2 linked regions of the Macaca mulatta genome follow. The protein of the gene in region 1 interacts with the protein of each later gene in a biochemical or structural test. Links are inferred from orthologs where the notes say so. Each region holds a gene or a part of one and is shown on either strand. Other genes may lie near its edges. The genes, in order: CHM and RAB7A.

The links.
Region 2: the proteins of CHM (region 1) and RAB7A are reported together in a solved structure, tested with the Homo sapiens proteins (2 studies listed by BioGRID, with this or other methods). The link is inferred for Macaca mulatta from reciprocal best matches to the Homo sapiens genes CHM and RAB7A.

Annotation. Positions count from the first base shown.
Region 1 is NC_133426.1:92,377,754-92,381,579, reverse strand, and holds part of CHM (rab proteins geranylgeranyltransferase component A 1), read left to right. Parts: intron 1-2,428; coding exon 2,429-2,816; intron 2,817-3,826. UniProt on the Homo sapiens protein: Substrate-binding subunit of the Rab geranylgeranyltransferase (GGTase) complex.
Region 2 is NC_133407.1:155,157,916-155,161,741, forward strand, and holds part of RAB7A (ras-related protein Rab-7a), read right to left. Parts: intron 2,107-3,826; coding exon 1,980-2,106; intron 1-1,979.

The sequences.
Region 1 (3,826 bases):
AATGAGATTTCATCATGTGAATGCAGAAAACCTAGGCATACAGGTTTTGAGTTGACTATTGAGCTATGGGCAGTTTAACAATATCTTATTTGATTAGTATCTTTTTTTTTTTTTTTTTTTTTTTTTAGGACGGAGTTTTGCTCTTGTTGCCCAGGCTGGAGTGCAATGGGTCGATCTTGGCTCTCTGCAACCTCCACTTCCCGGGTTCAAGCAATTCTCTGGCCTCAGCCTCCCAAGTAGCTGAGATTACAGGTGCCCACCACCACGCCTGACTAATTTCTGTATTTTAGTAGAGATGGGGTTTCACCATGTTGGTCAGGCTGGTCTTGAACTCTTGACCTCAAGTGATCCACCCACCTCGGCCTACCACAGTGCTGGGATTACAGGTGTGAGCCACCGTGCCCGGCCTGATTAGTATCTTATATTTGACTAACCTTTTATAGTTTATAAACTACTTTTCATATATGTTAACTTTCTTATCTCACAACAGTTTCATAAAAGGTAGGGCAGGTGGACTGATCCCCAGTTTATAGGTGGTGAATCAGACAGATTAAATGACTTGCAAGTATTTCCTAGGTGATGAGTCTGGGATAGAACATGGATGTTTTCCTCACTTCAGTTTCCTAGATCTCAAAAGTATTCATGTAACATTAATGATATCAATTTGTTTTTTTGTTAGATTTTATTAGAATTACTATAACAGTAAATGTGGCATTTTATTTCTTGACATTTGAGTGTTATTCTTTCATTGCCCCTCTTTGTTTTTGTAGTGTTTATTGTATTATTTTTAATAAGACAATTATTTTTTTCACTTAACTCAGATTTTCTAATTTGCAATACAATGTTTTTTTCTTGGCCTTATTTTTTGTGTTTTTTGCAAGAAGTTTGTTTCACATTTGAAACAAAAATAGCCTTTGCATGTATAAACCATTATTCATCAAGCATTTATCAGATACCATATCTATAGAGCAGTGCAGTAGGTGTTGTGTGGGGCACAGAAGGAACGGTGCTAAGGTATTCCCTCCAGGAATTACAGTCTGATTGGGAAGATAAAGGATATACCGGAAAACCAAAAGATTATTAAAAAGGAATGGATAAATACATGCTAGGTAAACTGCATGTGTGTATTATGGGAGCATGGTATAATAGAGTGATGAGTGTAATTGGGCTAAGGAAGACTAATTCAAAGTGAAATTTAAACTTTTTCTTAAAGTAGTTTGTTAAAGTATGTGATTATGTTTGAGAATGGAAGAATTGTGATATTATGCAGAGTGGGAAGAAAAGGACGGAAGAGACAAATGATATGAACCAAACTATCATGATTTGACAATTAGAATTGATAAATTTGGAGTTAGAGATGCCATGTTGGAAAGTAGGTGGAGATGAAGCCAGAAGATTAGTAAATAAGGAAGACGGTTTGATTTAGAGACAGGAAGAGGAAGATTTTTTTGTGGGGTAAGTTTTAGATTTGTTATAAGGAAGGGCTATTGTTAGTTCTTGATCAGTCAACTAGCAGAATTTTAGTTGCCAAGACCAATCGCATACAAAGCATTGTGCCAGATATTGAGCAGTGTGGCAACTCAGTGAAAATAGTGGGCTCTGTGGAGGATAAAATATCATACAGAAATTGCTAAAGCAGACAGACTGAATGGGAGCCTGTTCTATAAATCAAGACAATGGTGGACTGAGAATGTTAACTCTAATAATAAATTTGGAAATGGGACTTCGACTAGAGTAATAGACATCAGTGCTAAAAAAGGCAGGAAATTATACAGAAAGGTCCTATTAGACACCACATTGTGATAGGCCAACTTAATCTTTTCAAGGCAGATTTTTTTTCCCTTTATTGAAGGTCTTCGGTCATATCACCAAGTCAGGAATTCCTCAATAATAACAATGTTGATAACTACCACTGTTGAGCATTTACTATGTCCCAAGCACTGTGTCAGGCTCTTTGCATGCAGTACTTAATTTAATCTTCAGAACAACCTTGTGAGGTGGGTGGTATTATCTCTGTTTCATAGATGGGTAATTTAGGTGGTCTCAGAGAGGATAAATAACTAGTCTAAGTTCACAGAGCTTACTAGTCATATGGTCAGGATTTGAACCAAGATCTGTTATTCTGAAGACTATGTTCTTCATCACTGTGGTAATTTGCCTCCAAAATACAACTCCCCTGTCTTAAATTCTCAAAAATGTGCATGTGACGTGAAATCTTTATATTTTTCAAATCTTAATTTTGTTTCTTATTTTACTGAAACATGAACAGATGAATGTTTAATGTCTGAGTCACATAAGCAAAACGTACACTGAACTTGATAAAAGGGGTAAAGGAATAAAAGTTGCTGTGAAAAGTTAAAGCAATATAAAAATGTAGCAGGGTAGAATTAACAAAAGCCTGGTGTTTATTATTATAATTTCTTATTAGTCAGGATTTGCATGAAGATGTAGAAGAGGCTGGTGCACTGCAGAAAAATCATGCTCTTGTGACATCTGCAAACTCCACAGAAGCTGCAGATTCTTCCTTCCTACCTATGGAGGATGAGTCATTAAGCACTATGAACTGTGAAATGCTCACAGAACAAACTCCAAGCAGTGATCCAGAGAATGCGCTAGAAGTAAATGGTGCTGAAGTGACAGGGGAAAAAGAAAACCATTGTGATGATAAAACTTGTGTGCCATCAACTTCAGCAGAAGACGTGAGTGAAAATGTGCCTATAGCAGAAGATACCACAGAACAACCAAAGAAAAACAGAATTACTTACTCGCAAATTATTAAAGAAGGCAGGAGATTTAATATTGATTTAGTATCAAAGGTAAGTACTAATTTTACCCATCTTTGCATTAAAAACAGTATCTGGACCCATAAACCCAGTTTTTGTAATTCTCTGAGATGCAAAACGTTTGTTTTGTAAAGAGAGAGTAGCCAGACATTTGTAGTTCATTTAAAATATTCCTTAAGTACAAATTAAAAACACGTTTAAAGTGATCACATTAAAATGCTTTAATTATGTTTTTAATCTATACCTGAAGAATACTTTTGTACTTGAGCACATACTACAACCTAATATTCTCTGGACACTATGAATTCTATCAAAAGAAAAATTCTAATGAACATGTTTAGAAATCCATGTTATTTACAGTCCATTTCCATCAATTCTTTTAGCCTTTATATATAGTAACTATTTTCACAACTGGATGATGATGAATACTCAGAATAAACCAATGCATTTTTAAAAATCATGTGTTCACATGGACACAGGGAGGGGAGCATCACACACCGGGGCCTGTGGGGGTTGGAGGTTAGGGAAGGGATGGCATTAGGAGAAATACCTACGTAGATGATGGGTATGTAGGTGACAGGTTGATGGGTACAGCAAAACACCATGGCGTGTGTATACCTATGTAACAAATCTGCACGTTCCGAACATGTATCCCAGAACTTAAAGTATAATTTTAAAAAAAGAGTCTCAAAAAAAATCATGTGTTCAGGTTTGAAAGCTTCAGAGGAAAATTTAATAGTGATGGAGGCAGGAAGGCTGGGAAGAAAGCTATTGTCTTCAGTTATGTTCCTGAATATAACTAACTTGAACGTAGTTCACTGTAACTTCACAGGAGGTCCCTCCATCTTAGAAGGGTACAATATTGCATTTGGTTTATAGGAAGCAAGACTATTTTAGTGCAAAAGAATAGAAAATCAGTAAGATAAAGGATTATGGCCTTAAAGGGTTACAGTACAGGACAGGATAAAAGTAGATAAAAACAGAGACTAAATCCTATAAGTTGAGAGCTAACAATAAGGAATTGAAAAGAAGTACAAGAGGAT
Region 2 (3,826 bases), on another chromosome or scaffold:
TTCATTTAGCTTATTTCAATACTATTTTTTTCACTTCTTGAAGTTCTAAGTTTTCCATATCCTCATTTTTTTATAGTATCCCTTTCCATTATGGTTTCTATTTCTTTTTAGAACATCTCTAGTCATTGTGAACATCTCTTGTGGTACATTATTTCCTCATGTGGTTATGAATTCATCTTCTCTCCTACAGTAGTAAATGTCCCTACAGAGTAGTCTTACCCTTGTTTTTGCCAGGATTGACAGAGATTTATGTTAAATTCTTTGAGACAAAGATTTCTGTACACGTGGATAGTGGGACTGAGATTCTCCAACAACTGCAGACACAAGTTTTGCCAATTCCTTGGGCCAAGGTTTTCCAGTTCTACTCTCAAGCTTGACTTGCTTAAACTGCAGTTACATTTTGAAGATCTCTAGGTGTATGTGTATAGGTAAGGTGAGGATGAGAGATTCATACTAGCTCTGTCCTAGAAGTGTCAGTCAATTAAGAGTCCTGATCCTCTAGGAGCATGCCACAGCTCGAGGTCAACACATGTACAAACTTCTACCTTTAACCTACATCATTCACACATTTCAGCGAGCCCCCACTATCTGCCAGGTACTTGCTAGGACTACAATGGGATTGGAATTTGCCTCTAGAAGCATGTAGGAAAGAACATCTGCCACAGAGATAGAAGTTTCAAAAGATCTGAGCGAAAAGTTGGAGACTTCCGGTGGGTATACAGGCCCTGCTGGAAGCAGAGACATATCCACCAACACAAGTCTGTAAGAGCAGCACATGATTCAGAAGGACTGGAAGGAGACAAAAAAAAGTGAGTAGCAGCTATTTCTACCATCTTTCCTTGCCTCCATAATGGTGTGCATGAATGTCTTGGTTGATGCTCTCAAAGGCAAACACCAGGTACTTATTAGGCTGTGCTCCCAAGTCATCGTCTGGTTCTAAGTGTGAAATGAAACATGATCACATTGAAAAATTGAAATCATCGGTGATCACAGAGCTGGGAAAATTACTGTGAACCTCACAGGCAGGTTAAAACTGGAATGAATGGCCCCAGATTTGATGTGCAACTCAAAGATCTAGAAAAGTGACAGAATAATCTACTCCTATCCCAATAGTTTGGTTTCAAAGTCAGGTTGTACTGACAACCTCAGCTGGCATCACGGACCATGAATAAAGAGATGAAAATACAGGAGGGAAAATCATGGGATTCTTTTATTTTTTTAATTTAGTGACAGGGTCTCACTCCATCACCCAGGCTGGAGTATAATGGAGCAGTCACAGTTTACTGCAGGCTCGAACTCCTGGGCTCAAGGTATCCACCCTTCAGGGGTTCTTTTCTAGGGATATAATACATGTATACAAACAAAATGACTCAAAGGGGAAAAAAAAAGGGAGTAACAGTTTATAGCCAGAATGTGAAGGCTTTTCAACAAGTCACATGAAAGAATCTACATCTTATCCTAACTGTTGAAAGGGAAACCCTTGAAAGATTAATAAGCTGATACATAAAAAAAAAACAGATTGGCTCAATAGACACACAACTCTTGAAGTTACATATGAAATAGAAAGTCAAAAAAATAAAGAAACTTCATGTCTCACTACTGAGGTGAGACAAAGATGTTTACCTAAAGCACTGGGCAAGAACGTCAAGAGAAACACAAGATAGAGACCTGCAGGTTGCCAAATTTAGCAAACAAGACCAAAAACAACAAAAAACAAGAAAGGATAAATCTGAGTTTTTTTTAAAAAAAGAAGAAATTTTAGTGTGTCTTAGCAATTTGTATCTGAGATATACAAGAAGTATACCAAAAAAGTATTCACTATTGATCTGAAATTCAAATTTAACTAAGTATCAGCCAATTATCTACAAACAGGATAATAAGATTTGAAGAACAGGGAAGAAAAATGTCTATGCATGAGGAAAGATTAAGACTAAAGGAACTATCAAGGCCTGGTTAGCACAGCCAAGACATATGCTTACCTGCATTGTGACTAGTCTGTCATCCACCATCACCTCCTTGGTCAGAAAGTCAGCTCCTATTGTGGCTTTGTACTGATTGCTGAATTTCTTATTCACATACTGGTTCATGAGTGATGTCTTCCCGACTCTGAAATTGGAGAAAAACCACAAGCATAAGTCAAATAGGAAGGTCCTGAAACTGACATGAATTACTTGAAGCATTTGAAAGAATCTGCCTGACCTGAAGGACAAGAAACTGCTCTCACAGCAAAGGGCAATGCCAGTAGCCTTCCCAGCATTACACTTTTGAAGTTTTGTGCTTTCTCTCTGGGTAAAAATACAAGGTACAGATGTGGGGCAGATGTGGAAAAGCTGCTTACATGTTTTGGTACAATCAGGTCAAATGGTAAAGCCTAGTATTATTTTTCCCATTCTAGAAGGATGCCAGCAAATATACTCCTTCTAAAGAAGCTTCACTAATAAGAGTGCTCTGCTATTCCAACAGTATCCCTGCTATCTTAGATGTTTCTCCATTTAGTGGCTGCTCTTTAGCTTGATGAAGTAACACCAGGAGGAAGACCTTGGCTTTGAGCAGACATATACCACTCAGACAATTTGCTGCTTTAAAGTTTAAAATCTGAAGCAGAAAAAGCACCAATATATCACCAAACCAAATATACTTCAAAGAATACTCCTCCAAATATGTTTTCCAGTAAGAAAACTCAGCAAGAGACAATGTGTGATTTTTGTGTGATGAGGTTAAGGCAACCTAAAGATAATGCAAAAACCTTCCAAATACCCAGTGATATCACCTTCCTTTGCCACAAAGGAACATGTTCATATTTGTGTTAAAGAACCTAGAGGTACCCAGACAGCCTAAGGCAGTGTTTTCCAATCCAGACCACCAGAGCCAGAATCTCCAAGGGGAGAGGTGGCAAAACCTGGAATCAAATGAGGGCTCGGTGAGACTTTTTGCACACATTTGGGTAAGGCAGGCCTAAAAGCACTATCTTTCCATCCCGACAGGGATGGAGTTGCGGGGTAGGAAAGACAGCACAAATTTAGGCCCTAGCCCACTGGTCTGGGGCTGGACAAATGCTAGCGAATAAAAGGTTCTTCAAAGGCTGGGCATTGTGGCTCAAGCCTGTAATCCCAGCACTTTGGGAGGTCGAGACGAGTGGATTGCTTGAGCGCAGGAGTTTGAGACCAGCCTGGGCAACATGGCGAAACTCTGTCTCTACAAAAAATACAAAAATTTAACCAGGAGTGGTAGAACATACTTGTGGTCCCAGCTACTCTGGAGGCTGAGGTGGGAGGATCACTTGAGCCCAGGAGGTTGAGGCTGCAGTGAGCTGTGATTGCACCATTCACTCTAGTCTGGGCAACAGGGCGAGACCCTGTCTCTCACACGCATACAAAAAAAGGTTCTTCAGGTGATTCAGATAAGCCAGTCAAGATAGAAAAACCTCTGGCTTTTCAAAGGAAGGACAGGGGACTTTGGACTAAAGAAGCATGCCTGCATTTGCTATTGTTGTTATTTTTAAAAATATATAAGCTTCCAATGAGTCAAAGCTTTCATGGGTCCCTTCAGATACCAAGTCTGAAAAGCCTACCACAGAATCTTTTTATTTTAAGAGTTGGGGTCTTGCTCTGTCACTCAGGCTGCAGTGCAACGGCATGATCATACCTTGCTACAGCCTCAAACTCCTGGGCTCAAGCCATCCTCTCGCCTCGGCCTCCCCAGAAGCTAGGACTACAGGTATGGCACCTGGCTATATTTTTTTTTGTAGAGACAGGTCTCAAACTCCTGGGCTCAAGCAATCCTCCCCTCAGCCTCCAAAGCACTGGAATTATGGGCATAAGCCACC